Linked DNA regions of Schizosaccharomyces pombe. The gene in region 2 interacts genetically with the main gene of each other region. Each region holds a gene or a part of one and is shown on either strand. Other genes may lie near its edges.

Region 1 (3,756 bases), on a different chromosome or scaffold from region 2:
GTCCATTTTTTGGAGATTTTTTCGCGATATTTCAGCCTTATCGTCTGAGCATAACTTCACAAATATGAAAATGAGGATTCCTTACTCTCCATTCCAAGTTTTTAAGCTTAGTGTTTGATAGGCTTAAGTTCTTTTAAACATATATTTTAGATTATCAATTTATTTAGTTTCCTCGTAACATGTAAAGTTTTTACATTATCTGACAATCTTTATTGAAGGCTGCAAAGATGAAAGGCCCTGGAAACGTTATGACACTGAATTGAAAGATTATTTTTTTAATGCCTGGAAAGTGATTTTTTTTTTCAGTAGGTCGTTACGGAACCCCCCTTATCATTTATCTGTTGTTTCCTTACATTTGTTTTGCTTCCTTGAGCGTCGCTTGTTAACGCAGGAGGAGAGAAATACTAGTTTATTATTTATAACTTATTCTACATATTGTTGGATTAATATGTCTCGCTTTGTTATATAATGGCTCCGGTTTAAGGCTTTATTTTATTTTATTTTATTTTAATTTTTAATTACTCAGCGTTTTTATTATATAGTGTTATTTTTGGGATTGCCGGAATTACTACATGGACTAGGAGGTTATTTTATTTAATATCTTTGCATCGCTGTCTGTGGACAGCTTTGACATTGGCGTCGAAATTATAGTAAATATTTCATTATTTGTTTTCTTTTGAAGATTTTGCATTTTCAAGCTGTTTCGCCTGTTCTTGCTTATACAATTTAAAGTACTCTCTTTTTTTATTATTTAAATCGTTTTTAAGCACTAGAAATGATATAGGGCCGACTGCGTGAGTTAGTGAAAAAAGCAATTATAGACAAAAATATATATATTAATTTATTCTCTTAAAGAACTTTGAAACCTGAATTACTTCAGTTTTATAGTATCAATAAACATACCAGTAATGAATATTCCAAAAAATGTGAGTAGTTGTCCTTTTAAGCTCATACCCATCGTGAAAAATTAAATTGTAGGATTCAAATACTGAAAGGTTATAATGCTTGCAATAAAATAGCTTTGAAAGGACGAAACCAAAACTTTCGACGTTTAATTGGGTTATTTGCTCACGAAGCCGGTTCAAGTGATATCTTCTTTTTGCAGCCCGATGTTAACTTCTGAAGTGTTAATAGTTAATGGTCACTAAGGTATCGTTATAATATGAAACAAAAACTGCAGTGTCTTGGAAAGAGAGTGGTTTAAAGGGGCTATAGAATTCTGATAGAACAAATTCAGAAGTTTAAACAAATATTGGTGTAAATGGGATTTTTAACTTATAAAATCTCGTAGTGTCCTTGGTTGTCTATTTTGACGTAAAATATGTGCCAGTTTTCAAGCCTTTTATTCTTAGTATACTAATCATTTGCAAATGAAAAGTGTTTTTTGTAAAGCATGTAAGCCGATAACCCTTGATTAAGGCCAATCTAAACTTTCCAAGCTACAAAGAATAAGTTTTTTTTGCGGTTGTAGGTTGCTTTTGAATCAATTAATGTCTAAAGTTTACTCAATTAAGAATTGCCTGTTCACTTTAACGGAATTTCCGTATTATGTATTGACCTTTGTCTTATTGTATTGTAGAATAAGTCATCCAGACATAGTACATGAATTGTAAAGCCATACATTGCTACATAAACTACAGCTTAATTCAAAAAATTGCATCTGTTATCGTAAAAAAAGCAAATAAAGCGTTTTGAATCAGTAAATTATCAACAGTACAATTGCTAATTTATCAATACATTCTGCGAAGAAAATAGAGTATGACCGCATTTGCCACCTGCAGCCTTTGGGTGGTTAGTGCTCTGCAAAGTAACTGAATCTATATGAAAAAAAAAGGTACGAACCTGAAAATATATTATGCTACGACTTTGAAATTTAAAATTAAAAAAATTCAATTATTAGGAATGGTAGCATTCATTTGATTTCCTCTATGGTGTAAGCCTGGTGTCATGCGCCATTCGCCCAGTTACCTAAAGGTTACACTTCACTTTTAGTTGCTTCTACCTCCAACCTCCACGGAATTACTCAAATTTCAGTTGGGCACTGGGAGGTTGCAAATCGAGAAATTGCAAGAGTATCTGAGGACACTCAAGTAATTCTGATGGCAACCCGTTCTGTCAGCATGAAACAGACCTCGCAACGCGCTGCCAGCCCTAATAAAACTCAGGGTGCCAAAAAATGGTCAGCAGTTGCTGCTAGAGGAAGCAAAATTGCTCAGTCTGCTACGAATGATCATCGTAATGTAGAATCTATTAAAGTAGTACCTGAAAATAGAGTCAGAGGGGGAGTTGCTGCTAAAGCCACCGACTCATCTTCCAACGTTACCTCGTTGGCCTCTTCCGAGGAAAATGTTTCGAGTGTTTCTGGTTCTGCGAAATCAAATAATTCTCAGCAAAGAGTTTGGAAAACAGATGTAGCTATTTCAGCAGAAAAGCGCACTGAAACTCGTCAACGAGAACTCCGTCGCTGGATGCCAGATCCGGAAGATGCAGGTGTTCCTCTAGCTGGTTTAGAGGAGTCTACTGATAATGTTGAATGGGATCAATTTGCTACAAATGAAAAACTTTTCGGTGTGAAATCTCATTTTGATGAAGATTTGTATACTTCTCGTATCGATCGAAGTCATCCAAAATACAAAGAGAAAGAGCAAGAAGCTGATCGTATAGCGAAAGAAATTGAAGGTACCGTAACCAACAACATTCATATTGCTGAAGAGCGTGGTCTTAAAGTTGATGATAGTGGACTTGATGAAGAGGACCTTTATTCTGGCGTTCATCGTTCTATCGATGTTGTTAGGAACTACACCCGCAGTAATGCGTACAACAAGAACAACAAAGATCAAAAACCTAAGAACCATGAAGCCCCTCATCAACATCCACAGCAGAAAGTAGTTCCTCCTGATGATCCAGCAATTGTGTCTCACCGTCACCTTGCTTTGCCTCGCGCACCTGGTCCAGATTCTCGAGCAGCTGAAAGGTTTTTCAACGCCCGCCGTAAGGCTGGTCCTCTCTCCAGACGTGAAAAGGAAGGACAGATTAAAGAGTTTATGCAGTTTAGCCAATCTTTAAAAATAGGTTCGCTGGATTCCAAACAACCTTCTTCTACGAAATCTGTTGCTGAAGTTAAAGTGGCTGATGAAAAACAGCTTCCTGATGCTTCCAGCCAGGCAACTCCGGCGGATTCGAAAGAACCACGAAAGGAGGAAGCTGAAAAACCAGTTACATCTGCTACGGAGGTGTCTTCCGAAAAGGTTGAAAAGGTTGATGGAAATACATCTTCTCCTTCAAAAGAAGAGGAAAAACCATCAACTGAACCCGAAAAGCCCTCTGTTGTTACACAGAGAAAGGAAACCACAGGTACAAAGCTGGGCACGAAGTTGAATGCTAAGGCTATATCTTTTAAGCCGAATGTAGCTGCTCCTGTGTTTACACCTGGTAAATTTACTATCCCCAGTAAACCCGCACCTGTTAATGCTTCACGTCCGATGATGCCTCAGCAGTCCAACAACAGTGAAGCTTCGATTCCTTCAACCACACCACAATCACCTTCAGTGGTTTCCAATGGTGAAAACAAACCTTCTTCCTCTCCTGTTTTCTTCAACGGTCCTGTTTCATCGGAGAAGGAACCCATCTTAGATAACTTTAATGTTTTTAAAAACGTTGGAGAAGAACACCAAGGAGCGGAGCAGATTGATAAGCCTTTTTCATGTCCCCCGACTTGGAACACGGGACCCAACTCCCTACAGCAAACCATTGCAA
Region 2 (3,756 bases):
ATATAGAATCGTTTGAATACACATGTAGCATATTAAACCTTTTCCAAAAAATAACGGATAACATTCTCAGCATTGCATTTGTTCAAAACTCATTAGTTTCTATTTAGGATATCTAGTTTGGTAAGTGAGACGAATTGGAAAATGAACATCGAGATTGATGAATTTAGCAGCATACCCCTAATAGCAAATAAGCAATCACAGTACTTATTAAAAACTCTAGTGAATAAACCAGGATTTTCTTGTAAAGTTAGCATTTATCAGAATTTTGAAGAACGAACCAATTTCAATTATAAAATATGCCACGTTTAGCATAACACCAATGACACGCTCCACCAACGGGCATCCCAGTCTCCATTGCTCAAAATGACTTCTAAAAAACATAAGGAGGGGAATGGCAAATGCATTAACAAAAGTCAACTTGAGAATAGCATATAGCATATTTACTCCCCGTTTTTGGGGAAAAGATCTTATACCTGCTCCGCAAGCGACAATAACTTCCTTGATACTCCTGAACCATGTTTCATATGTTGCTATAGAATTAGCAGCTGCATACTGATAGTAATCACATAGTCCACTTACCGAGTAAAAGCCACATCGAAAATATGTTAATTCCACCATTTCCCAATCCAAATAGCACCCGATCTTTAGTTGAAAAGTTTGCAAACACGAGATATTTAAACAAAGCAATATTTATTACGAAAACAGGAAGAAGTACTGCTGGAATTTTTGTCGACCAAGCCGTACGAGTATCAGCAACCTTAGAAGCTTCCATCACTTTATGATCAGCAGGTCTGGAAGTTTTCACTTTTACGTTAAAATTGCTATCTTTTTGAATATGAAGTTCTTTTTCTTCCCAACGAGGGTATTTTTCTTACCTAAAGACTGAGGTATAGTGGCTTCCTCGACCACAGTGTATTGTGAGACCTGAGTTTCGTGCTCGCCTTTTCCACGTTTAGGATTCAATTCATCCAAAGAATCCTTAGCCAAATGATGATTGTTTTCCATAATGAGCGATAAAAAGAGGTTGATCAAAAAATGCGCCGGTTGATATAACTGCGTAAACAAACAAGCAAGGTCCTTTCAAATTATCGCAATTTCAGATCTTACAAAGTTATACTAAGCAGAGAATTACAAAATTGAAAAATTTCGAATCAATTGCTTAAAACAAAGAATATTCAAAAATAGGAACCAAAAAGCTGATTTAGGAGGTAGATTACTTCTAACATCCGCATTTTAAGAAGACTAGCAGTATTCCTAAGTTACATTATATGCTATAACGAACACTTTGAAGCAATCTTATATCTGGAAATGCGAAAAATAATACAGTCAATTGATCGTCAGTAAATGCATTATCGATACAGATTAGTCCTTGCCATGGATTGACTTCTGCAGTATAGGAGAGTTAAGTTAACTCCTATTTAGGAGCTTTTATAACCGTAAATAAAATACTCTTTTAAAACTTTTAAGCTAAAATTTTTCTTTTGTGAAATTATCTGCTAAGGATATCTACCGATTTACAACGTGATACTTATAGATTTCGCTAACAGAAAACTGGTGAACTACTGTAATGTCAACTTCAGTATATCGAATAATACAGTACGTTCCGTATCGTTATATATCACATGTTCTGTTATCTATCCGCTATCTTATGATACAACATAGCACAAAAAGATTTGCTGATTTTTCCAAAAGAAAGTTTTAGATTAATAAACATACTCTAGATAGAGCCTAGCTGGAATTCGTTAGTACAGTTAAGTATTGAGCTTTTTCAGTGATTAGCTGCCAAACGTCCCCTTTGTATAAGAATATCAGCATTACCTGTTACCCATATTACCTGTGTATCAAAATATAATATGTATCAAGCAACCCCACCACCGTTTACCATATCCCTAAATTTGATTGCAACACGCTATTTCCACGGTATAATTGATTGCGCATTACACTAGAATAGCCAATGTTTTTACATCGCTTCCTAAAGCCGCAGTAAAGAGACAATTGGCTTTCCCCCACCTCTCCATATGGAAGAACGAACTACGTAGGATTCACCATTCACACTTATCTGCCCTTCGCCAACAGCTTAAAACCGCAACTGTCTGTTTTGGAAGTAGTAATAGAGGAAAAACTTCAAAATTGAGACTCTTTGATACTCATATTTAAAACCGCAGACATTGATTATCTATACAGTGAAGGGCACGGCTCAAGAGTACCGCCGTAAAACAAGAACGCAAAAGGGGAAGCCTTTACCTAAGAGCTTCGCCGTTTAAGCCTTGGGAAGTATAAACATAGCTTTGACTTACATACATTTTAAAGGAAGTGATAGAAATGTTTTGGAGATTGGGCCAGGGATTTGGATTTCAAAGCTCAAGCGCCATTGAGGCGATTTTGGATAAACCGGAAGATGAGATTAATTTAAAGGAGTTGTTAGAAGAGAATGGGGTTTTGGACGAATGTAAAAGCCACAACCCCAAACTTTTAGAATACCTTTGCAAGCCGGAAGTACTTAGCCAGCTGATTGATTATATTTTGGAGGTTGACGAAACAGAGATACCTTCTGCCGATGGTGGTTATGAAGAGCCGGAACATACCAGACTTTCCTACATAGCGAGTGAAATCCTCAGTAGCGACGTTTGGTCCATCTGTGAGGCTTGTGTGGAAAATAAGACATTGATGGTGAAACTTTGGTCCTTTTTGGATAGCGAGGGCCCATTAAACCCATTGCAAGCATCATACTTTGCAAAGGTCAATGAACATTTTCTGGATAAAAAAACCGAAGAAACGGTTGCCTTTATCCAATCTATTGATAACTTTGTAGAAAAGATCCTCCGTCATGCGGAAACAAGCGCAATCATGGATCTGTTGCTCAAATTCATTTCAATGGATCGTTGCAATACTGCTATTGGAATTGCTGACTGGTTGTATTCGCAGGGATTAATACAATCCTTACTGCGTCTACTTAGCCCATATGTGGATCCCGACGTCCAGTTTACTGTTGCTGATGTTATAAAAGCAATTATCGCTATTTCTGCCAATTCTAATGAACCCGGAGTTATTGGACCTAACTCCCTTTCACGAGAACTAGTATCCAGACAAACAATAACTACACTAACTGATTACATGACCGATTCTAAAGCTCCTCACTCTGCCACTTCTCTTATTAATGGCGTCAGCATCGTAATAGAACTAATTCGTAAGAACAACAGTGACTACGATGTTACACCCGTTTTGCAAATGCCTCTTGACACGCATCCTCCTACTACCCGTGATCCTATTTACCTTGGGACCATGTTGCGTCTTTTCGCCGAAAAAATTCCTGTCTTTCAAAAAATCCTCCTTAAACCTTCCACCGAGTCCGACCTCATGCCCACCAGTTTTGGTAAGATCAAGCCTTTAGGTTTTGAACGTTTCCGAATTTGTGAACTTTACGCCGAGTTGCTTCATTGTAGTAATATGTCCCTTCTTAGCGATCCTAATGGTGAAGCCATGGTAATGCAGCGTGACCATCTTCGTGATTATCTTTTCCGCCATAATAGCTGTGCACGTGATCTTGTCATGAGCGACGAGGACGATGATGATTCTACTTTTTCCGATAAAAATTCTAAAGATTTTAAGGAAACTGAAGACATGAACGGGGCTGAAGATATGCACGGTCGTGCTCCGCAAATCACTAAGGATAACCTTAATTTGACTACTACTGATTCCCCAATGTCCGAGGCTGAACCCGTTAGTGAAGAAGAATACAAGGACGTTATGGAAACC

What was found. A genetic interaction does not mean that the proteins touch.
Region 1: mutations in ekc1 (region 2) and ath1 together harm fitness more than expected from each alone (negative genetic interaction), as found in Schizosaccharomyces pombe (one large-scale study listed by BioGRID).

Annotation. Positions count from the first base shown.
Region 1 is NC_003423.3:1,664,960-1,668,715, forward strand, and holds the start of ath1 (ataxin-2-like protein), read left to right. Parts: upstream 1-2,000; 5' UTR 2,001-2,099; coding exon 2,100-3,756. Other genes in the region: SPOM_SPBC21B10.15 (uncharacterized protein), read right to left, coding at 663-790, 904-958. UniProt on the Schizosaccharomyces pombe protein: Involved in post-transcriptional regulation of gene expression, probably by association with mkt1.
Region 2 is NC_003421.2:1,627,687-1,631,442, reverse strand, and holds the start of ekc1 (protein phosphatase regulatory subunit Ekc1), read left to right. Parts: upstream 1-2,068; 5' UTR 2,069-2,322; coding exon 2,323-3,756. Other genes in the region: wtf element Wtf14, read right to left, coding at 93-112, 176-238, 279-530, 580-804, 876-1,005. UniProt on the Schizosaccharomyces pombe protein: Has a role in chromosome segregation. May provide a dynamic connection between kinetochore microtubules and kinetochore chromatin.